7 linked regions of the Oryctolagus cuniculus genome follow. The protein of the gene in region 1 interacts with the protein of each later gene in a pairwise test. Links are inferred from orthologs where the notes say so. Each region holds a gene or a part of one and is shown in the gene's direction. Other genes may lie near its edges. The genes, in order: TEX11, SNX7, ING3, EFHC1, DUSP21, CCDC198 and ZNF414.

What was found.
Region 2: the proteins of TEX11 (region 1) and SNX7 interact in binary tests that used the Homo sapiens proteins (3 or more experiments, as listed by UniProt). The two-hybrid records come from large-scale screens. The link is inferred for Oryctolagus cuniculus from reciprocal best matches to the Homo sapiens genes TEX11 and SNX7.
Region 3: the proteins of TEX11 (region 1) and ING3 interact in a two-hybrid assay, tested with the Homo sapiens proteins (2 studies listed by BioGRID). The two-hybrid records come from large-scale screens. The link is inferred for Oryctolagus cuniculus from reciprocal best matches to the Homo sapiens genes TEX11 and ING3.
Region 4: the proteins of TEX11 (region 1) and EFHC1 interact in binary tests that used the Homo sapiens proteins (3 or more experiments, as listed by UniProt). The two-hybrid records come from large-scale screens. The link is inferred for Oryctolagus cuniculus from reciprocal best matches to the Homo sapiens genes TEX11 and EFHC1.
Region 5: the proteins of TEX11 (region 1) and DUSP21 interact in binary tests that used the Homo sapiens proteins (3 or more experiments, as listed by UniProt). The two-hybrid records come from large-scale screens. The link is inferred for Oryctolagus cuniculus from reciprocal best matches to the Homo sapiens genes TEX11 and DUSP21.
Region 6: the proteins of TEX11 (region 1) and CCDC198 interact in binary tests that used the Homo sapiens proteins (3 or more experiments, as listed by UniProt). The two-hybrid records come from large-scale screens. The link is inferred for Oryctolagus cuniculus from reciprocal best matches to the Homo sapiens genes TEX11 and CCDC198.
Region 7: the proteins of TEX11 (region 1) and ZNF414 interact in binary tests that used the Homo sapiens proteins (3 or more experiments, as listed by UniProt). The two-hybrid records come from large-scale screens. The link is inferred for Oryctolagus cuniculus from reciprocal best matches to the Homo sapiens genes TEX11 and ZNF414.

Annotation. Positions count from the first base shown.
Region 1 is NC_091453.1:50,428,685-50,432,223, reverse strand, and holds the end of TEX11 (testis-expressed protein 11), read left to right. Parts: intron 1-491; coding exon 492-656; intron 657-2,593; coding exon 2,594-2,665; 3' UTR 2,666-2,829; downstream 2,830-3,539. UniProt on the Homo sapiens protein: Regulator of crossing-over during meiosis. Involved in initiation and/or maintenance of chromosome synapsis and formation of crossovers.
Region 2 is NC_091438.1:71,769,028-71,773,221, reverse strand, and holds part of SNX7 (sorting nexin-7), read left to right. Parts: intron 1-2,076; coding exon 2,077-2,276; intron 2,277-4,194. UniProt on the Homo sapiens protein: Involved in the regulation of endocytosis and in several stages of intracellular trafficking. Together with SNX4, involved in autophagosome assembly by regulating trafficking and recycling of phospholipid scramblase ATG9A.
Region 3 is NC_091434.1:156,936,571-156,941,219, forward strand, and holds the start of ING3 (inhibitor of growth protein 3), read left to right. Parts: upstream 1-1,276; 5' UTR 1,277-1,475; coding exon 1,476-1,503; intron 1,504-1,752; coding exon 1,753-1,824; exon of another isoform or gene 1,825-2,547; intron 2,548-4,161; coding exon 4,162-4,262; intron 4,263-4,649. UniProt on the Homo sapiens protein: Component of the NuA4 histone acetyltransferase (HAT) complex which is involved in transcriptional activation of select genes principally by acetylation of nucleosomal histones H4 and H2A.
Region 4 is NC_091436.1:117,479,966-117,484,829, reverse strand, and holds the end of EFHC1 (EF-hand domain-containing protein 1), read left to right. Parts: intron 1-2,695; coding exon 2,696-2,906; intron 2,907-3,870; coding exon 3,871-3,942; 3' UTR 3,943-4,113; downstream 4,114-4,864. UniProt on the Homo sapiens protein: Microtubule inner protein (MIP) part of the dynein-decorated doublet microtubules (DMTs) in cilia axoneme, which is required for motile cilia beating.
Region 5 is NC_091453.1:30,605,424-30,608,676, forward strand, and holds DUSP21 (dual specificity protein phosphatase 21), read left to right. Parts: upstream 1-1,749; 5' UTR 1,750-1,896; coding exon 1,897-2,469; 3' UTR 2,470-2,576; downstream 2,577-3,253. UniProt on the Homo sapiens protein: Protein phosphatase component of the sperm flagellar doublet microtubules. May act as a regulator of sperm motility by mediating dephosphorylation of sperm doublet microtubule proteins.
Region 6 is NC_091443.1:19,295,013-19,299,731, forward strand, and holds the start of CCDC198 (factor associated with metabolism and energy), read left to right. Parts: upstream 1-1,590; 5' UTR 1,591-1,779; coding exon 1,780-2,002; intron 2,003-4,608; coding exon 4,609-4,691; exon of another isoform or gene 4,692-4,696; coding exon of another isoform or gene 4,697-4,719. UniProt on the Homo sapiens protein: May be involved in tuning the metabolism, energy expenditure, and excretion processes.
Region 7 is NW_027208201.1:4,535,444-4,540,067, reverse strand, and holds the start of ZNF414 (zinc finger protein 414), read left to right. Parts: upstream 1-1,649; 5' UTR 1,650-1,889; coding exon 1,890-1,901; intron 1,902-2,218; coding exon 2,219-2,501; intron 2,502-2,742; coding exon 2,743-2,850; intron 2,851-2,940; coding exon 2,941-3,046; intron 3,047-3,388; coding exon 3,389-3,732; intron 3,733-3,815; coding exon 3,816-3,866; intron 3,867-4,305; coding exon 4,306-4,476; intron 4,477-4,577; coding exon 4,578-4,624. UniProt on the Homo sapiens protein: May be involved in transcriptional regulation.

The DNA of each region.
Region 1 (3,539 bases):
GAAACATGCCATTTGTTCACAGCTTGATAAATCCTGTCAGCTAAAGATATTGTCACGGTTAAGGATGAATATGCTTTCTATTCCAAACACACGCTGGTTCTGGTTAAGGAAATTAAGAGATGCAATAAAACCATTTCTTGATAATGTCTGAACAGTTGAGGCAGGTACTGGGAACATAACTGTCTGGAGACAGCATCAAGGGAGGCCTCATACACGATGCCGGGTCTCCCCGCCCCCCGCAACTTCCTTCAGTCACAGAGGGCCTTATTGCTTTAGCACTTCACATGTCCCTTCCTGACATCTCACGGTGGAATATTCTACAGCTGACAACGCTTCCAGGCGCTCTCCTCCTGCTCTCCAGGAGCACGGGCTCCCTGCGTATCAGCAGCACCTGTTGTTTAACAGGAACGGGCTGCGGCAGGGACACAGGTGGCGCTGCAGTGAGCTGTGACAGCAAGAACGACCCAACACCCACTGTTCTTGGATTTCAGGAAGGCTACCCAGAAATGGAGGTTCTCTGGCTGATGACCAAGTCCTGGAACACTGCGATATTAATGTTTAGCAAGAAGAAGTACGTGAATTCTGAGAAGTGGTGTACCCTGGCAATGCGCTTCGTCTGCCACCTGGGCTCCCTCAAGGAAACCTATGAAGTTCAGGTGAAGAAGGAGAGGCTGGGGTGGCTGGCATGACCTCGGGGCAGAGAGGCTACAGCAGGACCTCCAGAAAGACTGACCCCTCCCTCCCGTGGCCAGGAAAGGGTTGATCCCTGTTCCTCTCAGTAGTTCCCTATGTGAGGCCACTGCCAAAAGTTTTTGGAAAATGGAATTAAAAATAAGGTTTTTGGGGGCACAAAGAAAATTTTGAAAGTCAAGCATAGTTTTTTCATAATACACACTTTCCATAAACTTTGGGAAAAGACCCCTTGCATGCAGATTTCAAAAATTTTTGTACCAAAGTAAACTTACCTCTTAATTCCATTTTCTGCAAACTTTTGGAAGTACCTTTGTAATTTCATAAGCAGTCACTTTGGAACCATAAGCAGTCACTTCTTAGAATGAAAACCAGGGGGCTGGCATTGTGGCGCAGCAGGTTAAGACACCGCCTGTGATGCTGGCATCCATATGAGCACCAGTTCAAATCCTGGCTGCTCTACTTCCCATCCAGCCCCCTGCTAATATGCTTGCTTGGGAAAGCAGTGGAAGATGGCCCAAGTGCTTGGCCCCCTGCAACAACATGGGAGATCTGGGTAGAGTTCTAGGGTCCTGGCTTCAGGCTGGCCCAGCCCGGCTGTTGTGGCCATTTGGAAAGTGAACTAGAGGATGGAAGATTCTCTCTCTCTCTCTCTCTCTGTGTGTGTGTGTGTGTGTGTGTGTGTGTGTGTGTCTGCCTCTGTCTCTCTCCTCTCTCTTCTCTCTTCTCTCTCTCTCTCTGTAACTCTGCATTTCAAATAAATAAATCTTTAAAAAAGAAACCACAGTGAGAACCGGGAGGGATACAGAACAAGGGGGACCTTAGTCTCAGCAAATGAAGACTAGCAGGAGTGAGCTCTGGAGAGAAGCAGCACTGTCCATGCCAGTGCTTGGGGGGAGGAGTGTCCTCACTGAAAGCAGTGACTGGTTCCAACCAGTGTTTTCTCCCAGAACTCTTCTCAGTTGCAGGCTTCTGGGCCATTAGCTAACCAGGAGAGATTTAGTGGAGAAAAAAACCTTGTTACCAAATAAAAACCAAGGATCTTTTTTTTTAAAGATTTATTGATTTATTTGAAAGAGTTACAGAGAGGCAGAGGCAGAAAGAGAGGCCTTCCATCCACTGGTTCACTCCCCAAATGGCTGCAATGGTCGGAGCTGCGCCGATCCGAAGGCAGGAGCCAGGAGCTTCTTCCGGGTCTCCCACACGGGGTGACAGGCAGAGTGGACAGTGAGAGAGAGAAAGGTCTTCCTTTTGCCGTTGGTTCACCCTCCAATGGCCACCACAGCCGGCGCGCAGCGGCTGGTGCATCGCGCTGATCCGAAGCCAGGAGCCAGGTGCTCATCCTGGTCTCCCATGGGGTGCAGGGCCCAAGCACTTGGGCCATCCTCCACTGCACTCCCGGGCCACAGCAGAGAGCTGGCCTGGAAGAGGGGCAACCGGGACAGAATCCAGCGCCCCGACCAGGACTAGAACCCCGTGTGCGGGCACCACAGGTGGAAGATTAGCCTAGTGAGCTGCGGCGCCGGCTGGGCCACCTTCTATTGCTTTCTCAGGCCATTAGCAGGGGGCTGCATTGGAAATGGAGCAGCCAGGACTCGAACCGCCGCCCATATGGGATGCCGGCACTGCAGGCTTTACCTGCTACGCCACAGCGCCAGCCCCTCTTTGTTGTATTTTAAGCACCATCTTCCTTGTGATCGCCCTGGCCCTATCAAACAGGCCTAGTTGTATTGGGACCTTCTTCCTCAAGAGGGGGCTTTATCTCCGCACCCCCTCACCCTCAGAGTGGCCCCTCCGGTCTCAGAAGAGAAGGGTTGGCCTTCGTGCCATCGCCATAGGTCTGGGACGCTTTCCCACATTTCCTTTTCCTTTCGAGAAACCTGTTTTGTGTTGTCTTCCCCAGATGAACATCCTGAGCAGTGAGCTCATGCAAGCGCTGTCTGAGAAGAGGGACACGGCTTTTACCGGAGAGTGAGACCCACTGCAGCACAGCACACGAGCGGGCAAGCCTTTTGACGACACTGCGAAGTTGAATGTTTGCATTTTTGCTAGACTTTTGAGTCTTTGGTTCAGTTCTCTCAGGTGTCATTTTCATGTTCGTAACTGAGATTCTTGAAAATAAAAGCATTTTGACCTTGACCTCAGTGATCAGCTCATTTCTAGGGTGCAAATGAATTTTCCAAAACATTAAAATAGCGTATGTTTGAGCAAAAAGCTTTATGCTCCAAGTGAGCAAAGCAGGGTGTTCATGGTGTTCATCCCAGTACAACACAAATAGCATTGTGTTCCCAAAGTCTCAAATGCCCACTACCCCAAAGTAATAAATAACCATAAACTCTTCACTGGAAGGAGCTCGGTGGTTGTCTGAGCCATGAAATGTCTCTGTGACATCCTGGAGAACCCGGTGATGTGTCTGAGAACATATCCATGGGGCAGGTGTTGCGGTGCAGCCGGTTAAGCCGCTGCTTGGGATGCCCAAGCACCCTTTCCAGTCCCAGCTGCTCCACTGCCGAGCCAAGTCCCTGCTGATGCACTTGGGAAAGCAGCAGCAGATGGCCCAAGTGCCTGGGCCCCTGCACCCACAGAGTGAACCAGCAGATGGAGGGTCAACTCTCTCTCTCTCTCTTTCAGATGAATAAATAATCTTTAAACAATAACAACAACACATCTAGGGGACTCCCAAGATATCTCAAGCCACTTTTTTTTGCTGTCTGGGAGCGAGCCCTTTCTTATGTGAGCAGAAATCTGTCTCCCAATGATAAATGTGCTCTCTCCATCCCAAATGCCCCTCGGAGAGCTGGGGACAGAAGCCAGGCCCTTTCCTCTCCTCTGGCCCTTTCCTCTCTTCT
Region 2 (4,194 bases), on another chromosome or scaffold:
CACTGTCCACATGTGCTGGAGATGAAATGAGGAGTTAAGGTGGAACCTGTCCTGAACTTCATAGTCTAGTTGGGAAGGATATGCATTAACAGAAAATTATCATACAGCATATGAGATGTTTTCATCCAAATGTGATTTGAGTGTCTCTAAGCCTAGTTTAGAATTTTAGGGATTCTCTGTTTTGTAAAAATAGATAAATACCACAATGAAATCTGCCCAAACTATCCATGATAGTATGAATAATTTTCTTTTTCAAAAAATACTAGTTTCATATGGTCATTATTTCATGAAAAAGGCCTAGACTCTGGAGGGAGGAATTAGGAAGGGTCATTCAACCTAAAATTTCATCAGGTAACAACTAACATTTCCATTGCTTTAAAATTTTATTTTAAAAAACTTTTCAGCTGTTTGAGCATGCTGAGAACTTTTTAAAGTTTTAATGACTTAATTTAGAGCAATATGACAGATTTCACAAATTCTAGTGAGTAGTAAGATGTTTAAATATAGATAATGATATATATGGATATTGGACAAAATTGCTCACCGCTTATAAATTCTTTACCCTGAAATGCTATATATCTCTAAAAGTTGATAGTGTGAATGTAAAAATGTAAAAATATTCACGTTTTAAAATGAATTCCAAATTTTTGAGTACGTGACTTATCAAGCATTGAATACTTTGGTTACTTATTCATTCATTCTTTCATTGATATGAAAATATTTATTCAATACATTATATATCAACCTTTGAGATACAAAAATAATAAGACTCAGTCCTTGTTTTAAGGAGCATATGGCCTAGGAGTATGTGAGTTTTGCGAGCAATTACTATAGAATGGGATAATGCTTTAATAAAGGTGTAAAGTTCAATAGGCTCACTGAGTAAAGACCAAGAATCTTTTGAGGGGCTGGCACTGTGGCACACACAGTGGCTTAATCTTCCACCTATGGGACTGGCATCCCATATGGGCGCTGGTTCTAGCCCCGGCTGCTCCTTTTCCAATCCAGCTCTCTGCTGTGGCCTGGGAAAGCAGTGGAAGATGGCTCAAGCGCTTGAGTCCCTGCACCCAAGTGGGAGACCTGGAAGAGGCTCCTGGCTCCTGACTTCGGATCTGCCCAGCTCTGGCCATTACACCATTTGGGGAGTGAACCAACGAATTGAAGACCTTTTTCTCTGTCTCTCCCTCTCACTCTCTGTGGCTGTACCTCTCAAATAAATAAATAAAATATTTTAAAAAAAGAATCTTTTGAAACAACATTGGGGAGGTTTATTTGAACTGATATCTAAAGGATTAGAAGTGGATTGTTGGGTGATGGAAGTGCTACAGGGTCAGAGGGATACATGCAAATGTTTGAGTGAGGAAAAATCATGAGTTATTCATGAATGAATAGTTATTTTGGCTTAAGTCAAAATATATTTAGCAGAGAATCTCAAGAGTTTGACCTAGAGAGGCAGGTAGAAGACTGATCATAAAAGACTTTCTAATTAATAAGAAGCTACATTGTTTAAACATTGTGACAAAAATGGAGAGATTGAGACTAGTTAGAAGTAGTGCAAATTAGAGATGCTGATGGCAGTAGAAGTCAAAATAGGTAGGCAAGTAGTCCATAGACGATAAATAGAGATCTAGAAATATTAGACTTGATTGATTGGCTGAGTGCAACTATTAGTCTAGAATGACCCCATCCCCAATGTTTTTCTTGGATTTCTGTATAGTGACATATGCAATAAGAAGAAAGGGATAAAGAAGCAAAGTTTTGTTTAGGGCATATTGCCTATGAGACACCCAGGTATGATTATGTGGTAGGCAGAGAAGTCCATGACTGATATGGTTATCATTTGTCTTCCAAGTACAGAAAAGGGATGCTGTTATTGACAGTAGTCATTCATTTGAAGGTTGATCTGGGCAGACTGGAATGGTCAATCACTAGGATAAAAGATGATCTCATTTTCTTAGGTTCACATGTAAAAATATGTGCATAGTGAGAGAAACAAGGTCATTTGTTACTGTCCATGCCATTGGGATTCTGAAAACCTTTCCAAATTGAAGGACTTAAGCCATTATTTTGTTTTAGAGTATTTTGATGAAATGAAAGAATATGGCCCCATTCATGTTCTGTGGTCAGCGTCAGAAGAAGATTTGGTTGACACTCTAAAAGGTGTGGCCAGCTGCATCGACCAATGCTGTAAGGCCACTGAAAAACGGATGTCTGGACTTTCAGAGGCCCTGCTTCCTGCAGTACATGAGTACGTGCTCTATAGTGAAATCTTAATGGTAAGAACACTCATAATTATCATTTTACTTGAGTCTCTTCCCTGCTTATAAGTGCTCCACACGCAATTTCTGATTCTGTTTCCGCATTATTGTCTTCTTGTTCTAACAAGATGCTTTGCATATAGATGCTCAATAAATATTTGTTCATGGTGAGAGTGAATACATCAATTAGAGAAGACAATCAAAATAGAATTGCTCAATAGCAGCACCAAGGGTTTGTTAAAGTATATACAGATTTGAAGCATCCTCAATCAGGATTTACCTAGGAATATGGTTAGCTTTTCTAATCTTTAAAATTCTATTTATTTTTTTAATCATCTTAAAAATTTCTTTTTCATAAAGGACTTGCTTTCTTCTTTTTAGTTACATTTGATTTAGCAATATATTTAGTACCATTCTGTGAAAAGTACTTGTGTAGGATTTTGATGTTTTTTCTGCTTTGTGGTTGCTTCTGAACAGAAATACTTCAAATGTTTTTTCTTTCACTGTTTGAAAAGGCTTTTATTCCTTTTATATGAAAACTTTGCATTTACCTCCTTAGTTCAAGTCAATGTTTCCAGGTATTTGGGGTTTAGTACTAATATCTGTAACTTGATGTTTTTCTTCCAGTATTATCCTGGGCAAGCAGTACTTTGCACAGCCAAATTAGCACCCTTAAGTCTCTGGTGTTTTAGGGTGACAGTAAAGGAAGGAACAAGCTTGCATTCACATACAGCCCTTATCCTTTCAGTAACTGGAGGCATGTCTGGTCTCTGTTGTCCTGAGCCCTTGATTTCTAGGTTGTGGGTTTTTTTTTTGTTTGTTTGTTTGTTTTTTAACTTTTTAAACTTTTCTTGGTAAGGAAAGCTGTGTGAGCCTTGATGCCTAAGATCGATCTCTGTCTCTGTCTCTCGCATTAGGCATATGTAGGTTTCCTTTGACAGAGTCATTAAATATCACAAGGACATTTCAGGCTTCTGCTTTAACTTGACTTTATTGGAGCCTCCTATGATAAACCCTAATTGCTTCTGCAAGGCTTCTAACGTTTCACTGCACAAGAGTTGGCTTCTCTCCATCAGTTTTCTTGGCTACATCCCATGGTTTTATTCATTATTGATCACCCTCTTCTGTGGTTTTCAAAAAGAACTGGTTTATACATTGTCTTTCCTTATTTATTATATTAATTATTTCTTCTATATGATGTCAAGATCAAAGTTATGCAATTTCAATCTTGTTGTTAAACCTATGGAAAGCTATCATAGCGATCAGGAAGAATAATTGTATAGATATTCATTTGATCTAATTATTTTTTGACTTCTAGGATATAAGCAATGGTTTTTATATTGTAGTTCTTGTGTTTTGTATTAGCTTTGTTTTCTTCAATCTGAGCTAAAATATGAAAAGTAATACCTCGATAAGAATGATTAAATCTGTGATTTTCATTGGTTGTTTTCTGAAGCAACCTCTTACTCAAAAAATACATATATGCATATGAACCTTAGTGCTTCAAATTTATGGAAATAAACCTTCAGTAAATGGGACAAAATTCTAGGATTAGTTATTTGGATTAGGGAAAGAAAGGGATTTCTTGGTATTAGGGCCCCCAAATTTTGAAGTAAATATAAAATAATTTGTGATAATTAGTTGACTTTCTATTGAGTTCTCTGAAACTAGGAGTAATGTAATCTCTTTTCAGTGTTTTAAGAATGATTTTACCAGATGCGAAACTAGCGTGGGTAGTTTTCAGGATTCTTTTCATGCTTTTTTTTAAAAAAAAAAGATTTATTTATTTATTTGAAAGTCAGAGTTACACACAGAGAGAAGGAGAGGCACGGAGAAAGAGAGAGAGAGAGAGAGGTCTTTTCATCCAATGGTTCACTCTCTAGTTGGCCATAATGGCCAGAGCTGAGCCGATATGAAGCCAGGAGCCGAGGGCTTC
Region 3 (4,649 bases), on another chromosome or scaffold:
GTGGGAGGGGGGAGAAGAGGAAGATTCCAGTGAATCTGCAAAAATATCAAGCAGATCTTTCAAAGTAGTCAGAAGGAGGGAAAATGGAAAAGAGGGGCAGGGAAGGGAGGGAAAGTGGAAAGGAGGAAGAGTGAAGGTGCTAGATTTTAGCTTCAAGTGTGTAAAATTAACTACGTTAATTCTTAATAGGACCAGGTAAGTTTCCATTGAGACGTATCAACAGGACAGTCAAGCATCCTGCTTAAGACCAGTGGAAAAGCCCTGAGCAGAGGAGCGGCTACGGAGAACACTCACACTGACGACACTGTTCCCTGAAAAACGGAGAGAGTTAAGAAAGATGGGAAACACCACCACCTAACACTTAGAGTAAGAGTCTCCTGAGGAAAAACATTTTAAAATAAATTCAGCAATGCACACTTAACATATATCACCGGTCAATATTGGCAGGGAGAAATCCAAAAGTAGGGGAAGACAACGCCCAGGACTTCTAACACATGCTACTTACTCAACATAATCTAAATTGCTGGTTCAGCTCATTAGACATCAAGGCTCCACCCGCTACTTATGACTGCTCAGGGTTTTTTTTTTTTTTTTTTTTTTTTTTTTGGTTGTTGCTGCAGGTATAGGTTGTATGTACAGATTACATGAGGATGACAATGACGATGAGCTGGACCGAAAAAACAAAAAAAAACAACAACAAAAAAAAAAAAACAAGAAACAAACCACTCTCGTCTAAACTGGCGCTGATGACTATTCCAGCACCTTTCATCCGGGGAGTGCACATACACGCCACAGTTTGATAAACTATTTGAAGGCTACATGGAGTCAAGCAGACGTCCCTCCCTCCCCCCTTATATTTTCGGCGGTCAACACTGAAGCACCGAATTCTGTCTGCAACAATGGGAATCGCCCGAACTTCGCTGATCACGCTAGCGTTTAGAACCTCTGCTTGTGTGCCCAGCACCAGGCGAAACCCATGACTCACAAACGCCGGGCATGGAACCGCAGCAAAGAACAGGTGAAAAGTTGTTCCTAGTTGTCTGATGCCGGCGCATACAAGTCCCGTCATCCCCTGTGCCAAAATCAACAAATAAACAGAGGCACCGCATTTCGGAGCCCTCCGCGCACCGCTCGCAATGGCGCCTGGTGTCCGTAGTTTTCCCTCACAGAACGGGCGGCACGGCCGCCCTGCCTCAGAAGGAACAGAAACTACACTTCCCACAAAGGCGCTCGGGCAGGCCCTGGCCGGCCTACGTCACTGCGGCAGCCAGCCAATGACAGCGCCGGGCGGCAATGAGGCAAGCGCCGTCAGGCGCCCAAAGTGGTTTTTTTTTTTTTGTTTTTTTTTTTTTTCGCCGGAGTCGAGCGGGTGCTGCTAGCGGAGGCGCCATATTGGAAGGGACAAAACTCCGGCGACAGCGAGTGACACAAATAAACCCCTGGACCCCTTCGCTCCCCCAGCTCTAAGGGCCGCGATGTTGTACCTAGAGGACTATCTGGAAAGTGAGTGCGCGGCGCCGGCGGGGGCCGCCCGTGGGACCTGCGGTCGGGCGAGAGCGCGAGTGGACGGGCAGGCGGGATGGCGGGAGGGAGGGGGAGGCGGGGGATGTTTCTCTCTCACGGTAACTGGCAGCCTCGTTGTGGGCTGCCCGCTCCCTCGACCCCCCCCGACGCACGCACGCACGCACGCAGTGACGCAGGCGCGTACGCTCGCTGTGGGCCCCGCCCTTCTGACGGACTCTTGTTTGACAGTGATTGAGCAGCTTCCAATGGACCTGCGGGACCGCTTCACGGAGATGCGCGAGATGGATCTGCAGGTGCAGAGTAAGTCGGCACGTTTGCCCGCGTCCGCCGCGCGCGTTCCGAGCCGGGCTTGCTTGCCGCCGCTCCTGCGCGGCGCTCCGCGGGCACCTAAGTTGTGGAGAAGAGCTGGCAGGGCCAAATCGCGCCTGGTTTTTTTTTTTTTCTTCCCACGCTCCATTTATTATTATTTTTTTTCCTGTGACGAAATAAGAAGGCATTAGAGTATATGTATTGCTTCCTCGAAATGGGACTGTGCAAAAAAAAAAAAATGTTTTATATCCTCATGAGGGTAATACCGGGTGTGGGTTAGCGATGATCCCGTAAATGCTGAGATTTTGACCAGCGCCTTTATGGATCGAACTTGGATTTCAGCATCTGTTTGTACTTCTGTTCGAGTTCATTCCGAAACGTCCAAGAGCCCGGCTTAGGAGTAGATCCTCAGAGATCCCGGCAAACCTGGAGTGTCATCACACGTTATAGGATAAGCTTGGAGTTGTGGGCTCGATCCTCTTTTCCAGGCAGAATGAGCGGGAGATAAGATGTTGCTGCCAGGCTGGTCAGTGGTAATAATTGGCAGCGGGCTTCCCTGTCCTCCAGTGACGGCTTGCGAGTCTGGTGACTTTTTCTCAGACAAGGACTCTTAAGTAGGTGGCCCAGAGACTACCCGAGGTGGCTGAAGAACCTTTCTTTCGCAATCCACTCCGTGTGTCTACTTGGTGACCACCTAGGATTCTCTACCCAAAGGTTCATGATTCTGCTTTTCTCAGCTTCTGCACAGTTTTATGTAGCACGTAACAAGTGGGAATGTGGCACAAAAGCCACCTTTTTTTCTGTTGGTTAGATTGTAGCGTGGCAGGAAGTGAGAAGCACGATTCTGCAGCTGGCTGACAACATGCGTTTGAACTGCAGTGTAGTGAAAGGCCAGTGACACGCTGAGTAGAGTTCTGTGTAGGACGGAGTGTGGACTTCGATGTCGGGCAGATCTGCGTTTATTTTATAGCTTTATCAGTAGACTCATTGACCTCGATCGACTGCATTACCACTTTTGAGAAGTTTCCATTGACTGTAATAAGAGAATCCAATGAGAATTAAAAATAATACAGATAAGTTAGAATGTATGATATCTGATACAAAGTAGGTGTTAAAGAAAGGGTGGCTCTGTTATAAACATTTTCATTGCAGTTACACATTTTAAATTCTCTTAATTTGAACTTAGCTTGTACAAACTACAAGTTTTTTTAAACTAGCATTTTTTTAACAATAAGTAGAATTCTTTAAAGTTAATAGGTATTATGAATTAACAAAAATGACCATATGTCACGTAAGTTAGGGAATGCTTAAAGGAAAATACTTTTTTAAAAATTTTATTTATTTATTTATTTAAAAGAGTTACAGACAGAGAGGGAGAAACACAAAGAAGTCTTCCGTCCATTTGTTCACTCGCCAAATGGCCTCAACGGCCGGAGCTGAGCAGATCTGAAGCCAGGAGCTGGGAACTTCTTCCAGGTCTCCCACGCAGATCATTAGCAGGGAACTGGACCAGAAGAGGAGCAGCCAGAACAGGAACCGGTGCCCATATGGGATGCCAGTGCTGCAGGGAGAGGCTTACTCTACTATGTCACAGCACCCCAAAGGAAAATACTTTTTTATAAATTAACCATGGGACTTCTCAATCTTTAAAAAGCTGATTATGCACTGGCAATCTCCAAAAGATGAGTATAGTACAGAGATTTTCCTCAACCTAATTAGCAATGGAAATCTTTTTATTTTTCCTCTTTTTGGGAAAAACTATTCATTATTCTAGGCATATACTTCAGGAAAAACTTACTTAGAATAAATAATATCGTGTATGAAGTGCTAAATGGTTGTACTTACTGCTTTCAGCTTTGATATGAAATGATGGAATGCTTAGTGCCATTGAGCCAGTTGTTAAAAACTTTTTACTGATTTTCTTATGAAAAGCCATGTGAGGATATTTTAGTGGTGGTCTCTGTGAGTAACTGTGGTTGGGCACATTCAGTTGATTAAATACCGCTAGCCATTGACTGTGTCCCAACCCCCTGAGGCTGTACTCTTCAAAAACTGTGGTTTAGCTCTGATCCACTTTGTTAATCCTAGTTTAATTATTGGAAAAAATTAAAAAACAACATAAATAAGTAGTAGGGAAATGTGTAACTTTTAAAGATTAAGTTAAGTGAGCATTATGTATTTATGTAACTGAAGCATAACATACTCAAGTTATTGGTCAAGTGGAACAGTGTTTATTGTCAGATTTGTTTTCTTTCCTCTAAACAAAGCATGCCTATTTGATGTATGATGGTGGTTTTCTAAATAGGGAATGTTTTTATTATGTTGTAGATGCAATGGATCAACTAGAACAAAGAGTCAGTGAATTCTTTATGAATGCAAAGAAAAATAAGCCGGAGTGGAGAGAAGAACAAATGGCATCCATCAAAAAGGTATGTGTAACACTTCAAATTATTCATTAACAAATACCAGGACCCTCTGAAAAAGGTACCTCAAAACTGAAGAGTTTTCCTGATATCAGAATGAGGAATAGTTAGTTATCAGTGGCTCTTTAGAATTTAAATAAATTATTTATGTACTTTAGAGTTTCAGGTATAGGGATTTTTAATCAATAAAGTAACATTTTGTTAATTTACAAAATGATTTCAATAATCAATGACTATTAGAGAATAGTTCTCTATTAGTTAGCATTCTCTATACTATTAGTTAGAGAATCACTTAAAAAGTTCTTTTTTGCTTGTTTTATCCTAGTTACACATAATTACAGTTGCCCTGTCTTTTGATATATAATACTATATCCCAATTTTGGCTATACCCTG
Region 4 (4,864 bases), on another chromosome or scaffold:
ATGGGTACAAGATGATATCCTACTGTGAATTGATTTGCATTCTCTTATAATTAATCATCTTGAACATATTTTCACATTTTTGTTTCATATTTTTTATTTGTTTACCATTTTATATCTATCTTTAAAGAAATATCTGTTCAAGTCTTTTGCCCATTTAAAAAAAATTATTTGGAAGGCACGGTTAAAGAGAGAGAGGGAGAGACACACAGGGAGAGATATTCCATGTGCTGGTTCACTCTTCAAATGGCCACATCAGGCAGGGCTGAAGCAGACTGAAGCCAGAAACCAGGAACTTCATCCAGGTCTGCCATGTAGGTGCAGGGGCCCAAGGAGTTGGGCCGTCTTCCACTGCTTTCCCAGGCCATTAGCAGGGAGCTGGATCATAAGTGCAGCAGCCAGGACACGGCGCCCCTATGGGATGCCAGTGCAGCATGCACTGGTTTAACCCACTGTGCCACAATGCTGGCCCGCTTGCCCATTTTTTTTATTTTTACATATATCATAAATACAATATGAGGAACATAGTAATTCTTCCCACTGTATCCGCCCCCCCCCACTTCCTCCTCCCTGTCCCATAACGGTCTCTCTCAATAGCTTTTTAAATATTTTAGCAAGGTTTCTTTACATAATGCAGGCAAATTTATTTATATATTTACTTAGATTTATTTATAGATATATTATCTTAGTCTACTTTAACTTGCACAAAAAAGTAGCACTCCACATACTTTTGCCTCTTGATTTCCTCACTGACAAAGTAGCTTTCTACTCCAGCACTGTCGATGACTATATTATTATCCCATTGCTTGATTGTAGTGTCAATTATTTAACTAATTCCCTATTTTGGGATATTCAGGCTATCTCAAAAATCTCTTATAGATGTCTCCTTGCACATAATCCAGGATTGTTTCCTTAGGTCAAGTTATTTGAAATTGTTTTCTGAGCTTTTCCTCCTTACTTCCAGAAAGATTATATACCACTTTATACCTCTCTGTTGTGGTTTGGATAAGATTGAGTATAGCCCCCAAGGGTTTATGTATTGGGAGCTTGGACCCTTTAAGGGAGGAATAGAACCTTTAAGAGGCGGGGCATAGTAGAAGTGATTAGGTCATTGCAAGTGCTGTCCTCTGAAGAAACTGATGCAGTTCTTGTGGGAACCTGGTTCATTCTCATAAAAAGTTTGTAGAGTGAGCCTGACCAGCAAATTGTTTTCTGGCTCTGCCATTGTGATACCTTCCACTATGAGGTCCTCACCAGAGCTCAGCCAATGCCAGCAACATGCCATTGAACCTCACAAACTGTGAGGTTTGAACCTCACAAACCTCTTTTCTTTATAAAGCACCTAGCCTCAGGTGTTGTTATAAATATAAAAAGGAATGATACGCTCTCCCATCAGTATCTGCCAGCACGTAAATAGGAAAAATAAGGGGGCTGAGGCTGTGGCATAGCCTCTTTGGTGCTGGCATCCCACATGAGTAACAGTTTGAGTCCCAGCTGCTCCGCTTCCAATCCAGCTCCCTGCTAATGCGCCTGAGAAAGCAGCAGAAGATGACCCAAGTGCTTGGGCCCCTGCATCCACGTGGGAGACCAGGAAGAAGCTCCTGGCTCCTGGCTTTGGATTGGCTCAGCATCAGCCGCTGCTGCCATTTGGGCCATTTGCAGCGGGTGGAAGATTATCTCTCTCTCTCTCTGCCTTTCAAATAAATAAAAAAATCTAAAAACAAAAAAAGGAAAAATAAGATGAAAGAGGCTGTTGGTAACAGTCAACATTTTAAATAGCACATGCAAGAAAATAAAGGACAGAAAAGCAATGGTGGGTTGATAGTTTTGAAATGATGGAAGGAGGCAAATTCTGTGTGAGGTATACTTGGGCATACTTGAAAGAGCGTGTTGGAAGTAGAGTGAGATTTGAGCTCTGGTCTTGGCTTTGACTCATGATCTAGGGAGAGTCACCGAGTCTTAGAGTCTGTTTTTTCGTGATTGGGAAGGGGACAAGTGCTGGCTGAGCCCATGAGGGTCCATTTTGCTCTTAAAGGATTTATGAAGATGAAATATGAGTGAGTCTTCTCCAGCTCTAAAATTCTTTCATTTTGTAACTGTACCTTCACTTTCAGAGAAAATAAAAGTTGAACTTCTACTTCCTGTGGTTGTGTTTAGAAGGGACTGGCAGAGCTCCCCCTGCCTAAAGCTCTGTTACTAATCTTTGCAGTAAATGCTGAGCCCGGCTTCTCATTCCATCACACGGAGCAGTCGCTTAACTGCCATAGATAGCTTTTCACAGAATTCAGCGTGGACTAAAGAGGGACTGTTAGAACTGAAAGATTCCTGGCTGCATCATTATGTACATATTTTCTTTCACGGGCATTTAGTTTTAGATGAGGGAACCTTCATCCGTAACAGCAGTAGAGACAGTCATGTGATTCCTGCAAATACCAAATCTGGCTCCTGTGGTGCAGTGATTCCACAGATGGCAGGAAGAGAGGCCGTTACAAAACTCCCCCCAGTGAGGCTTTCCTGACGTGGACGTCAGCCAACAGCCAGCCTCTGCCGTCAAGTGTTTGGTTATTGGTCAGCTCAGCGTCAAAGCTGTTTGTCATTAGAAGCTTCCCTGACTTCATCAAGTGAGAACTTCAGTCGCTGAGATAAGATAGGTCAAGAATAAATACCATGTCGAGTCATTTCCTTCCTTTCTCTACAGCAAGCAAACTGAAGAAGATCCAGGCGTGCAGGAACTAGAAGCATTAATAGACGCAATCCAGAAGCAGCTGAAAGATTATTCATGCAAAGACAACATTCGTGAAGCGTTTCAGACTTGTGACAAGGAAGCTTCAGGTTATGTGGACAGAGAGACGTTCTTTAAAATCTGTGAATCTTTTAATGTTCCGATTGATGACTCCCTGGTTAAGGAGGTCAGTATGAATTACTACTGCTCTGGGTGGGTGGCAGAGGCTGCGCACTGATCATTCTTTCCTAAAGGCAGTTACATCTGTATTTCTTTGTAGTCCAGAAAGATTTAGGACACTCAGACCAGATCTCCTGTTTTATCCTGATTATGATAACTGCCCCCGGTTCTAGTAGGTGCATTCTTTTGTAATTGCTGTGGCTGTGGCAGGGCCGGGAACTAGACAGCAGAGAGTTATTGGTAGATCAACGTGTCAGGGCTAAAAGGAGAGCATCAGAGGTGATCTTGGAGGGGCAGATGCCAAGGGGACTCACAGTCAAGTTGAGACAAGTATTTGTTCATGTGGGCCAAGTACCCATTTAGCTGCCCAGATCTTAGATTGACAGCATGGTAAGCTTTTGATTTTCAAGTCATTCATACTTTCTGACACGGGAAGCGAGAGGCAAGGGATGAATGGCAGTCACTGGGAAGTGATACCGGGAAGGGGTGGGTGGGGTGGATCCTCATATGTCATATAAAGATAACCGCAACAGGTCAGTTACCAGGCCCAGTTAGGCTTTAGGGACATGGTTTTAGCAGTGACATTACTAGACTCTTTTATTTGCCTGTGATTAAAGAAGCCTGGCATTTCAGTAATCTCACTCCTCATAGGCTGGGTGGACAAAGACTTGAATTTGAATATAAAAACAAAAAAGATTTTAAAAATGACATTGCCCTCATAAATACTGGATGTTGGTCCCAAAATCTTGGATAGGCGTATTCTCTGAAGCTTTGTTTTTATTTAGTGTAAAATTGGGGTAATGCCTGAACCTACCTCCCAGGTTCATAGGATCATTTTAGCATCAACTGAGGATATGAAAACTCGGAACTGGTTTACCAAGGTAGGGTTTGTCATGCCTAAGTACACTGCAGGTAAGCTGAAGGAAGCCCTCATATTGGTTTTTACCTGTTTTTTCTGCTCTCTTTTGCAGTTAATCCGGATTTGCTCTCATGGAGAAGGCAAGATTAACTACTATAATTTTGTGCGTGCTTTCTCAAACTGATCTGGCCAATGAGAGAATACAACTTTTTGATGTTGGACTAACACTTTGAAATAGATCTTGTACTCTCCACAGAGGCATGTCCAGAGCCCCTGAAGTTATATTTCTGTTTTGGTTCTTATATTTCACTACTACTACTGAAGTCTAAATTAAATTAGACCTTTTATGATCTAAGACTTGTCCCTTACTTGGAGTGGTAGAGGTATTGTGATGGTTAATTTTATATGTCAACTTGACTGGGCCATGGGTTTCTGTGAAGGTGTTCCAGATGAGATGAACATTGGGTCAAGCTGAAGTGAGCAGCCTGCTCTCCCTAGTGTGGGTAGACCTCATCCAGTCACTTGAAGACCTACTGACCCTCCCTTAAGCAAGAGAGAATTCCTCCCATCAGACTGCCCTCAAGCTGTGCCATGGCCTTTTCCTGCCTTTACACTAAAGTAAAGCATTGAATTTTCCTGGATCCAGAGCCTGCTGGCATTTGGACTTGAACCACGCCCTCAGTTCTCCTGAGGTTTGCCAGCTTAGCCTGCAGATCTTGGGACTTATCAGCCACCATTACTGTGTGAAGCAGTTCCTTATAGTCAATCAATGTCTGTCCTCCTCAAATACACATGAGGGTATTTCAGAAAGTTAATGAAATTTACAAGTAATGGCATATTTTCCATGAATATTTTAAAGACTTGTATACTCAACACCCACCCACCCACACACACACACAAACACCCCTCCTACTTTTTCTTTGGAGAACCCTTAGCATAGATGTGGAATGATTAACAGCAGGAGGAATGACAGATTTTCTGGAAGCATTTGGATATCAGAAATAAGCATAGTATTGCTATTGCTGCTAGCCAATGTCCCCCCTCCACCTCCCTGCCCCAGTATTGAAGGGAAATGTTTTTCATGTCCACATGTTTTTAAACTGTCG
Region 5 (3,253 bases), about 20 Mb from region 1:
GCCTGGATAGGATTCAGGAAGCAGAGAGGAATGCGGTTTCTCATGAGTAAATGTAAGGAAATAGGGGTGTACGTTTGCCATCGACCAAGAGCATTTGATCTGTGTAGTCCGAACTAAGGATTTGTATCAGTGAAAATGCCTGGCACACAAAAGAGGCTTAATAAATGTCTAATAAATAAATGAGTGAATGAGATTTTGAAAGGCATGTTTAGGTCAGGTTGGAAAGGGCCTTGACTACTTGATTCTTAACATCCAAGGTCTTTTCCAAGTGATGGATAGAGAGTGCATTTTGGGCAAAGTCCCTTATACATTTTCTTTACAGGAAAAGCAGAGACAAGTGGGAGTCTAAAACTGACCTGTTTCCAGACTCAGGGGGAGGAAACAACAACTCCTCATCCACCCAGGGAATGCCCCACAGTGGAATTTTAGTAAGACAGCTTGTCTTTGAGAATCGTGTCTTAAATTATTCAGGTTAAGTTTACAACATTTTTAAAGTGAAGAGGTGTATGTTTATGAACTAACTAGCCTCTACTACTCTTTTTAGGGCCTCTACATTACTCTGTAGATTACAAGGCTCCTCCTAATGTCACATCTCACACCTGAACCCTTTAAAATAACTTTAGCCCAATTGAGCTGTCCTCAACAGGCAGCTTTTATGTTTATTCTGTATTTGTGTTCTGTTTTCTTTCAGATAGATTTGTGGGGACTGATAATGTAAGTAATGCAAAAGTAATTTGATTGTGACAATTGAGAACAAGAAAAGGTGCTGTGTCTTGAAGTTATCATGTCTTTGACCGTCATAAACGGGCGACATCTATTTATCTTTGCTCATAATTACAACATACCTTTGCACACAAGCCAAAATGACAGTGGAGTGAAAAGGCAGTATATATATATGAGTCTCTTGGCTGACTGTTAGTTTTAGGTTATGGTGATTTTCAATTTTTAGTCAACCTTTATGAAACTTAACTACAAGGAAACACAAATAGGAAACAGCATTAAAAAAAAAATCAGTGTTTGGCCCAGTTACAATGGAGTGTGAACTTGTTCCCAAAATGTTTAATATTACTAAGAAGACAGGTTTTGGTGGTGGTCAGAGTGCCTGGCAGTTTACAGAGTATGTGGGCATTCTTTTTGAAGAAAGTAGACAAGATAATTTGAGTTCTCGGTTCAAGGTCATAAAGTAGAATCAAGTGATAACATCATTTTGGATCTATGTATAAATGGGGTGTGCCACAGCTAAATCAGTCACCACTGCCCACCACAAGCCAACTTCACATTAGATAAAGGGTTGTGTAACAATTAACAACCATCCCTCCTGTGTTTGTAAGCAGGAGCCTAAGTCTACCGTTACAGTCAATAAAGAAGTATCAGACCAGCTCACCCAGCCTCGCATGTTGCTACAGTTGCACAGATTAGCACATCGTGTGAACCAAATGTTGAGCCTCAGTTTAGAAACCTAGACCCTGTTCCTCAACGCTAATGAAATGGATGCACTTGCAGATACTGTATTCAGTGTAGTCAAACAACAGAAGTTTAAAATTAGGTGTGTAGTCACAGAATACTTTATAAAATCAAAAAAGACCAGAATTAGGCCTTGGAAAATAAACAACTATGAAGAAAGATGAGAAGAAAAGAGATGGGGAAGGGAGTGGGGGAACGGTTTCTGATGAGCACGTGATAGTGTCCTCCCAGCCGGAAGTGGCCATCGCCGTGGAAACCAGAGCATCAGATTAACGGAATTCTGTCGTCAGCGAGGGTAGAGGAGCAGAGAGGCAGGGAGTGGTGATCTGTGACCAGTCCTTTCTCTCCCAAGCCCATGCTGGAGACTGCTTTCCGGAACTCACTCGCGAGGGTGGTGTCCCGAACGTGAGCAGAGACCTCAGATCTGCCGCCATGATGACAGCCTCCCGAAGCTGGTTTTCGTCTTCGCCTGCGGGGCAGCCCTTCATCCACAGCCACTCCCAGATAACCCGCAGCCTTTACATCAGCAGTGGGGTGGCCGCCAATAACAAATTCCTTCTGTCTAGCAATCACATCACCACGGTCATCAACGCTTCAGTGGAGGTGGTGAATACATTCTACGACAACATCCAATACTTGCAGGTACCTGTGACCGATACTCCCAACTCACACATCTATAACTTTTTCGATATTATTGCTGCTCACATCCACAGCGAGGACATGAAGCAGGGCCGAACGCTGCTACATTGTGTTGCGGGAGTGAGTCGATCAGCCACCTTCTGCCTTGCGTACCTCATGAAATACCACGCCATGACCCTGCTGGATGCCCACGCCTGGACCAAGACGCGTCGCCCCATCATCCGGCCCAACAACGGCTTTTGGGAACAGCTGATCCATTATGAATTCAAACTGTTCAGCAGGAACACAGTAAAAATGATCAGCTCGCCAGTGGGTGTGATTCCTGACATCTACCACAAAGAAGTCCAGTCGATGATGCAGATGTGAGCTACTCAGCCCACCCGGATGTCCCTGGCCAACAATGCCTATTGATGGGCAACAAAAGACAGAGGGGGGTTGGAATTTTAAATATGCCAGTCTTATCTTTAAAGAATAAAAATCACTATGTATAAGTTTGTGACATATGTCTTCATTTGGGAAGGGCAGGTCGGGCTGTTGGGACCTGGCTGGAATTGATCCTGCCCTGTCCTGACTTGAGTGCCTCCCCGCCCCCCCCAACCCCCCACCCCAGACCTGTTAGCAGCTCTAAAAGCGTCAGGAATTCTGAGCCCTGCCTGAGGCTGATTAACCCAGGATTGAGTCCCGCAGAAACTCACCCCGGTTCTTTCTGAGGCAAAGTCAGAGCCTTAGACATCCTGGTTCCTTTTGCACTTCTTTGCAGTAAGTGCTAACCTAGTGGATTAGTGACCTTTCAAGGAGTACGCTGGGAGCTGCTGCCATCAACCACAGTGGCCCAACTCTGGTCTTCTAGATTGGACTTATATACTAGTTTTTGAAGAAACCACTCTATGCTATAAAGTTTAAAAACATGTCTTGAGTGCTATGCTGTATGGTAAGGTCTCAAGGTGCTCTTGGCAATCCCCCACCAGTCTTTGTGAAAAGGGGCCTTAGCCCCTCTCCCAGGGCCTGCGCTGAGAGACCAGGTCTGACATCAGGCCTCAGGGGTTCCTCTCCTGGGCCTTGGCTTGCAAGGTTGTAGTTGGCAGCCATGACTCGGCCCTGTCACCTCTGAAACCTCCTCCATTGTGATCTGGGGCCTCTCAGAGGTTCG
Region 6 (4,719 bases), on another chromosome or scaffold:
AATAATCACTACTCAATATATCAACACATTCCCTTCCACTCTTCTTTTTCTACCTTTTTAAACATAGTATATAAGTCACCTTTGAAGATTCTGTTAGGTAGGAAGTCAGATATGAGCTTATGTGTGTGTGACAAAGGCCTAAAGAAAAGACATCTATGTCCAGCATATGCATCTGCATCTCAAAGTCATCCTGATAACGGTTCAGGGGCAGCCCAGTATTCAGGGGCAGCCCAGTATTCGCATCCTGCCCTGCCCCCTTCTACCCGATAACCTGCCAGGTGGGGGTCCCCGCCCCTTCTGCCTGACAATCTTCCACAGTCCTCCAGATGCAGCCCAGTATCTGCATTTCAAATACTCTGCTTCCTCCTCTCTGATACCTTTAGGGGAAAACTCAGATAGGAACTTCTTAATATTTACATCCATAAAATCCTTTGTTTCAGGAGGAGATGTGTGAAGACAAAGACCCATCTCCTTAAAAACCCCCGGCCTCAACCAGAAGGTACGCTCAGCCCTCTGCCTCTCTGCTGAGCTGCCTGCCTGGCCTGCCCAGGTGTACTCTCTCCACTCAACCATGTAACCTCGCTCCTCCTCCCAGTCCAAGTAACTGGGCGCTCTCTCTCAGGTTCTGTCTGGAGAGGTGCCCATCAGTTCTTACAGATGTCCCTTCCCTAATAAACTTTGCTACTTTATTTTCCACTACTCTGTTTCACGCCTGAATTCTTTCTTGCGTGAAGACAAGAACCCTGTCATTCACCAGTAACAATTCTAGGTTCATTTGGGCCATTTATTCAAAAAGTTTGTCCCCTTGTCCCCAAAGGAAAAAATCCTATTGACTTTCTACTTCCTGTAATATACACAAATTCACTCCCTTCAAAGATAAGTCATTGGCAGGAAAAAAAAAATCAAGTGAAGATTTAATCACTCTGCCATTTCCTGTCCTTTTTGGAAGATAAATTCTTTCACTAAAATTAAAGATTAACAAAGCCTTCAATGATTAGCATGCATCCCTCTGTTCCTAAAGGTGACTTGGTCTTCTCAGTTGTTAGTTCTTACCAAGATACCTGCAGTAAAGGGTCAGGTTTAAGACACCCCTACCCCATCCCCACAGAGGGCCAGTGTTGTGGCCAAGTGGGTAAAGCAGCTGCCTGCGATGCTGGCATCCCATATGGGCGCCAACTCGTGTTCTGGATGTTCTACTTCTCATCCAGCTCCCTGATGATGGCCTGGGAATATTAGTGAGAGATGGCCCAAGTTTTTGGGCCACTGGCACCCACGTGGGAGCCCTGAGAGAAGCTCCTGGCTCAACTCCTGGCCATCTGGGGAGTAAACCAGCAGATGGAGGCTTTCTCTGTCTCTCCCTCCCTCTCTGTACTCTGACTTTCAAAATAAGTTAAAAAAACAAAAAGACCTCCATACATCTTTGCTTTACATCTCTGTTCATGGCCTTTCTGTGTTAGATATTTGTTAAATGATCAGTGGTGTTTCTCTTCCTATCACTGAGTTCTTCAGAAAGTAATATAAGCAAGTCAATATTTAACTGGATTCTTTGGCTCTGAAATGACAAAGTGGGAGTTGAAGGGAAGTCTCCATGGAAACCACCTCCCAGGCAGTGGCCAGAGGGGTTAGTGTGTGGTGAAACAGAGCTAGAAAGAGGCCATGAGGAAATGACTGGTTCTTAAAGCCAAGTACACTTCTGAAATACCTTGATGAAAATAAGCTGCATTAAAAGAACCTAAACCACTTCCCTTGTGGTTTACCCTTGAATGTCTTTCACATGAAATGGGTCTGAGGCACTCTAAGTCTCACCCTAGGGTGATCAAAGTAGCACCTTTGCGAAACAAAGAGGAAGAGACTGCCCCGGCAGGCCCTGTGGACTTCGCAATCAAACAGAACCTGGAAGAAAAGAGCTCATGTTCATTGCCAAGACTGCAGGACCAGAACAAAGCTTTGGAAGGACCACTGCCACCTCTACGAGAAACCTGGTACGGAAGATATTCTACAGGTGAGTCTCCAATGCAGCAGGAGTTTCGTGTGTATGGATCAAGGAGAGCTGTTGATAGATTTACCTGTCTCCATAATCTACTACTACATAATGCTACTAAGTCGCTGATCTGCAAGGGATCTTTCAAGGGGATTGACTATGGTCAAGTTAAAGTATTCTGGGTGCCTTGGAGTAGAAATAGAAGCTGGGGAGATCCTTTCACCACTGCCTAAGAGAAGAAAAACTCATTTTGTTTCAGTTTATAGTGCTTTCAGTGTCTACACCTAGCCTTGGCAGAGATTAAAATTATATGATCCTGATGTGATAAATGATAGTAATCACATGTTTCCGCTACAGTTGAAATTTAAATCCTTGTCTCTGGCACAGTTGGGTTTGTGGTTTTGAAGGTAGCACTTCACGAGTGAATCCACTCTGATGGGAATTTTAAAGCCACTACAAATAGCATGGATCCATTCCATATGAGTGGATCAGTCCCCCCTTCTCTAACCCAGACTCTTGATGGTCATCCACAGAACTAAGAGAACTTGTCCCATTATGACTGGAAGCTCTCAGCCCAACAGGGCTATAAACTACCTTGAAATATTTTATAAGAGACGTAAGATGTTTTCTGATGACTGCAATGAATGAAATAGACATTTTAATTTGGAAAGCTCAACATGTACTTATAATGCACATGAATGTATACATTTATTCATATTCTGGATCAGTAAAACAAGTATAACGCTCCTTACCAGATGACTTGGTCAGAAAATCGTATATTCTCTTTTGCAACCTTGCAGAACTTGCTCAGAGCGATTTGCATGGCTGTTTTCAATCCAGCTGACACTCAGGCTCTGTGTGGTCCGGTCTCCGTGTCCTTTATGTTCACCAATGTCTTAGATACATGAGGGAGAATTTCCCTCTTAGTTTCAGTGAAGAATTCCTTTTTTGATACAAAATCCCCTATCTGGAGTTTTAAGATTCTGCCAGCTCAGTGGTGAAAACAGATTCTAGTGCTTTCTAGTTGCTACTGGGAAAAATGTGTTTATTTTTGAAATTAAAAAAAAATTTTTTCATCATACAAGGAATAGGTAAGCATTCTGAACATTATTTTCAAGGAGTCCATAGCCTAACTCCAGCTTCACCAAATGCCAATTGTATGACCTTGATCAAGATACTGCATCAATTTTCTTCTTCTATAATTAGGAATCAGAATAATTGGCTGACACAGCCTGTGCCATTTAAGGACAATCAAATTGAACAATGGGGTGATATCGCTCACACCATCGTAGGAAAGTCAGGAGTAGTCAAACTGCTGAAAATAAATTTCAAAGAATATCTGCTCTTTAAAATCCCATATTTTGTTGCTGCTGTTTCTGCCCTGCTCCATGTGTCAGCATCCTTTTGAAAGGAAGTAAGGGCACAATTTCCATTCTACTAAGAATCAGAAAGAACAAAATCCTGAAAGCAGTCCTTCAAATGTCATAAGGAGAGACACATACTTTCACAAAACAGGAAGCAGTTAAGACATCCGCATTCCATATTGGAGTACCTGAGGTCAGTTCCCAGCTCCTGCTCTTGACTCCAGCTTCCTGCTAATACAGACCTTAGGAAGCAGTGGTGCTGCCAAGTAATTAGCTTCTTGCCACCCACCTAGAAGACCTTGACTGTGTTGCCAGCTTCCAGCTCCAGTCCCAGTCCTTGTGGGTATTTAGGGAGTGAATCTGCATGTGAAAGCACTCTCCTCTCTCTCTCTCTCTCTCTTTCAGATAACTTTTTTAAAACTAAGAAGCTAGGACTGTAGGAGAGTCTATGCAACAATCTAGAAATCAGTGTGCATGCAGACGGTTAAGAAGGGAAGACAAAAATTCCATCCATTTAGCATTGGTCATGGTAGCAAATGCAAGAGCCCAGGATAATCAAGCTAAAAAATAAAGTGGATCTGTTAAGTCTCTCTGTTTCTGAGCAGAGGCTTAACTCTGTAGCCCTGGCTTGCTGCATCAGAAAAGAATACTGATATGTCGTATTTTGTGGTAACTTCTGGGCATCTCTTTCCCTGGTTGGGGGCTGGGGGCATTATTTGATTATCCTCAAGCAATGCCAACATTGCACACTCTTGTTAGACATTCCTGCTCCATTTCTTTATCATCTCTCCACCTATATAATCACCTTTCCAACTACCTATCTGCCATCTATCTAATCTGAAAAGACAATTAGTTTCCTTTGTTAAAGCTATATTTTGTCTGGTTTCTTATTTGTGTGCATGTGGGGTGGGGGAAGATTTCCTGGAATTAAAGCAAATCAATATGTTTCTATTTTCCAGGCCAAATTGTATATTTGAACAGCATTTGTAGTGAAAATATTTTAATTTTTCTGATATCCCTCTAAATTAAACCAGAGGCAGAAATAAGGAATCAGAAATCAAGTCTTTGGGCAAGACTAAGTTTTAATGATTTGTATTCAAGTAGGGCCCTTGCTTTGTGTGTTTTCCTCCACATTCAAGATGTAGGTTGGAAAATATAATAGAAAAGGTACAAAATTGTGGTATCAGTTCATGATCACTTTGCCTGATTTAGCGGTAAATGGGTTTTAATTATATATTCTTGTTTCTCTTCCAATCTCTCAAGTGTCCCAGGCCATGTATTTTGACATCCCACTGGAACAGGGAGAAACAAGTATTATTAAAAGGCATCCACCCCGAAGACCTCAAGTAAGATGAATTTAAAAGGCTTCATAAG
Region 7 (4,624 bases), on another chromosome or scaffold:
CCTAGTGAGCCGCGGCGCCGGCCTCTATTTATCTTTATTTGAAAGGCAGAGAGAGAGAGATTGTTCCCCTGCTGGTTCAATCCCCAAATGCCTCCAACAGCGAGGGCTGGGCCAGGCAGAAGCAGGAGCCTGGAACTTCATCCAGGTCTCCCCGGTGGGTGGCAGGGGCCAGAGTACATTAGCCACCACCTGCTGCCTCCCAAGGTGCGCATCAGCAGGGAGCTGGATTGGACTTGGAGGCAGGACTGGAAACCAGGCACTCCGATAGGGGAAGCGGGCATCCTCACCACGCCACAACATCCTCACCTACACCTTACAACAGAGGCACAGGCACTGACAAGGCCTCCATTTGTCTTCGGCTCAGCCAGCACCTCTGGGATGGTTGAATAACGTGTTACAGAGATCTAAGCTGTACTGTCCCATCTCTCCCAGAGGGCCTCTCCTTCAAATGACCCCCACAGAGCCGATGGTAAGCCTCCTCCTGCTAAAAATTCATCAGTGGTTTCAATAACACAAACCACACCCTCTGTCTCCACTGCTCACCTGGCCCTGATGACCCATTCTGCACCGAGGCCACTTCCGGACCTCTGCACCCCGCCCTGGCCATGCACCTGCAGTGCGCTCGCCCCCCCACTGTTCCTTGGCAAAGACAAATCTGTCCCTGTTTCAGAATTCCGAAAATAGTGGGTGTTGCTGTAAGAACCCCCAAACCTGGGTCCGTTCACCCAACGCTCAGAAACCCAACCATGGACATTGGGGATTTATTTGCAAAGTGCAGAGCAAGGAGCCGGGCAGCTCTTGCTTAATTCGAGGGCTCCCGGAGGAGCTGGGATGAAGGTTCTGGTAGACTGAAATGGGGCTGACAGGTGCGTGCTCAGCTCGGTCCGTGCACCTCGCACCCTGGGGCAGTGGCGCTGGTGACCTTTTGAGTGGTCAGCGAGGTCGCGCTCCTTCGGGAATTCTCAGGGTGGCCAAGTGGGATTCAGCAAGTCGGGGGGGGGGCGGTCACGGGGAGCTGGGGACCTGGAGTCTCCCCGCCTGGACCTGGAATTCCTCTACACGAATCCCTCTGGACAGTACTGGCCAATAGGGCTTTATCTACCAGAGCAGCAAGTGCCTCCGTGGGTCTGGTGATCAGATCCCTGCAGCGGCCCCCTAGGGGCCTCACCTCCGGGACCTCGGCACCTGGACCAAGACTAGCCTGAAGACGGGCACTTAAGCCACCAGCTCAGCGGACCCCTTCCAATTGCCAATTTCCCCGCAAGGAGGTGGCTCAATCCAGGAGAACCGCACTTTGCCGCCTTTGGAGGGTGGGTGGCGGGACGGGCCCGAAAGGATGTCCATTTTGCGCCGACGACACGGAGACCAGGAGGGACCCCCTCATCCCGATCGCCGGTTCTCCGCAAGGCGCCAACCGCGCTCGCCCACAGCGGCGACCTCGCGGCTGCCCAGGGTGAGCCCATCTCAGGCCCCGCCCCTCGCGGGGCGCCTCGCGCAGGCTCCGCTCCCCCGCTCTCGCGAGAGCTGGGATTCGGAAAATGGCGCCGACGTGAGCTCGAGGCCGCAGCGCCGAGGAAGTCGCTGCCTCCTCAGCCCGAGCCGCCGGAACCGCGAAAACGAGAGGCCGAGCCAGGTTGAGGATGGTGAGCGCGGCGCCGGGGGCGCGGGCGCGGCGGAGCAGCGGGAACCGACAGGGAGCGTCCCTGCCAAGCACACACCCTCCGACCGACCCCGCCCCCACATCCGGGCACCAGCCCGCAGCTGGCTGTCACTCGGCAATCGCCCTACCCCTACTTCCGGGCCTGGTTTCGACACGGCCACGCCCACAGGGCTCGGGCTCCGCCCCTCTACTAGGCATATCCGGGCCCTCAGCTGCTCCACGTCCGTCTATGCAGCCCGAGGTTGGCGGGGCCTGTCTCCATCCTCAAACAATCCGCTTCTGGCCTCTCCAGCATCTTGCCTAGGGTTGTCCAGTCCAGAACCCCGCCTTCAAAGCCGCGGCCCCACCCCCTCCTGGGCCACGCCCTTTCCCTGCCTTAGGAATTGGGGATGTGTCTCATGGGCACAATTACCCCCACCCTGTCTTGTAGGTGCCTCCTTAGAATGGGGGTGCCAGGGTGACTTCTAGGTGGGGAAGGGGGTTCCAGAAATGTCCGGGCCTCGTGGGACAGGTTCCCTGGGGCGCACAGGAGCTCCCTCCCCCTCTTCCTTCCACCAGGAGGAGGAACCGTCGGGGCCCGGCCCGGACATACCGGCCACTGCAGAGCCCAGCTCCAGTGACACCGACAAGGAGGTGTTGGCCCCGGTGGTGGCAGCCACTGCCTCCACCTCCATGGAGGAGGCGCCGGGCCCCGACCGGGCAGCTACGCCCCCAGTGTGGCCCGCAGGGACACAGCAGGGTGCCTCCCCAGCCTCAGAGCCTGGACCCAGCCCTGGTCCAGCCGGCACAGCCCCGGGGACCAGTGAGGAGCTGCGGCCTCCCAGACGACGCCCAGCACCAGGTGACCTGTGATGGGGCCTTCTGGGAAGCCACGGGCCTGGGAACCACTGGAGTGAGGAATGCAGACGTGGGACGTTGGGGTCCAGCTGGTCTGCCCGAGGGATGCTTTTGCCCATGGACCAAGCACCAGCCAGGCCGTGTACCCTCTGGCGGCCCAGTATGGTGGAGGGGCGGGGCGGTGGGGTGGCTGGTGGTGTCCCTGGGAAAGGGACCGCTGACCACCCAGTCCTGTCATCCTGCAGGGAAGCAGATACCCTGCTCGAGCCCTGGCTGCTGCCTCAGTTTCCCCAGCGTTCGGGACCTGGCACAGCATCTTCGTACGCACTGCCCCCCCCCACAGTCCTTGGAAGGTAGGGCCAGGGTAGGTGCTCAGGAGGCCGGCAGGGCCCACCCCTCCGGGGGGCCAGCCTCAGCCACCCCTCTGCCCTCCGTCCCTCCAGGCAAGCTCTTCCGCTGCTCTGCCCCGAGCTGCACCGAGAGCTTCCCCAGCATGCAGGAGCTGGTGGCGCACAGCAAGCTGCACTACAAGCCCAACCGCTACTTCAAGTGAGAGCCTCACCCAGCCCGGGGTCGAGGGCCAGGCCCCTCGCCCTCCCCGCTTAGTGCCAAGGTGGAGGAGATGGGCGTGGCCTCGGGCGAGTCCCGCCCGTCTGAGCTGCCCATGAGAGAGAAAGGGCGGAGCATGCGTGGTTGGAAAACGCACCCCCTAACTTAAAATTGAGACCTCCTTCCGCGTGTTGCCAGGGCTCCAAGTCTGGAGGGGTCGCGGCTGTCGTGGGCGGGAGGTGCTTGGCGAAGCCCGGCGCCTGCAAGTGGGGGCCCTTCGCACGCTCCCAGAGCGAGTCCCCGGGTGGCACAGGGTGGCACACACGCACCTTATCACCGCAGGTGCGAAAACTGCCTCCTGCGCTTCCGCACGCACCGCTCGCTCTTCAAGCACCTGCATGTCTGCGCAGAGCATGCGCAGAGCCCCGCCCCGCCGCCGCCCCCGGCCCTGGACAAGGAGCCCCCAGCGCCTGAGCGGCCCCAGGAGCCTGACCCCGCGTCGGCGCCGGGCCTGCAGTTCCCGCTGCTCGAGCCCTTCACGACCCCCGCCCCGGCCCCCAGCGGGCCTTTCCTACCCTACTTGAACCCCGCGCCCTTCGGCCTAAGCCCCCCACGCCTGCGCCCCTTCCTGGCTGCGGCGCCCGGGCCACCGGCCTCCAGCGCTGCCGTCTGGAAAAAGAGCCAAGGTGAGTGTCGGGGGCGCGGCCTCCTGCAGGGAGCGGCGGGCTGGACTCCCCCTGACTGGACCTGACCCGCCCCTTTATCGCAGGTGCTGGCGGCAGCCCCCGAAGACCCCAGGGCGGCTCCGATGCGCCCTCAGGTGCGTGCAGGTGACCACCAGGGAGGGTTGGCGGGGCTTTCCTTCCTGCGCCCTGCAGGGGCAGTGCAAACTGGCAGGCATCTGTGCCCGTCCCGTTCCCAGGTGGCTAAAAAATGCCACCCCGAAATACAGGATTTTGCCTTAAAAACCACTGGCACCTGCGCCTTCCTCTGCGCCGGCGTTCCCGTGTGAAACTCGCGCCCGCCCAATCACCGTGGAGCGCTCCTTTCCCCACCTGCGAGGGTTCGTGGGCGCAGGGGCCGCGGATAAGCCGAGTTTACGGCGGTGATGACGGGCGGGAGAAACGGATCCAGCTAGGCCTGGCCGCCTGCGCACGGGAGCTGATGGGGAAGCGAGGAAAAGTCCAAGCCGCCGCCCGCGTCCGCCGCCCCCGGGCTAGGGTCGCGGGACTGATAGGGTCCCGCCTGCCTGCCCGCAGGGCACGCGGCTCCGGGCCGCATCGTGTGGGAGCACACGCGCGGCCGCTACTCATGCATGCAGTGCGCCTTCTCCACGGCCTCGCGGTCTGCCATGACCCTGCACCTGGAGGACCACCGCCCTGGCGCCCCCGCGGCCCAGGCGTCCGGGCCGCGCCCCGACGCCTCAGCGGGTAAGGCCAGGGGACAGCGCCGCTGCAGAGGGCGGGGGGCACAGGGGTGAGGCGAAGCCGAGGCTCACGCGCTTCCTTCTCCCCTTTCCCCCCCACCCCAGACCCGGCCCCGCTTGCACCCAGTGCGTCGCCGCTGCTGTCAGAGGGG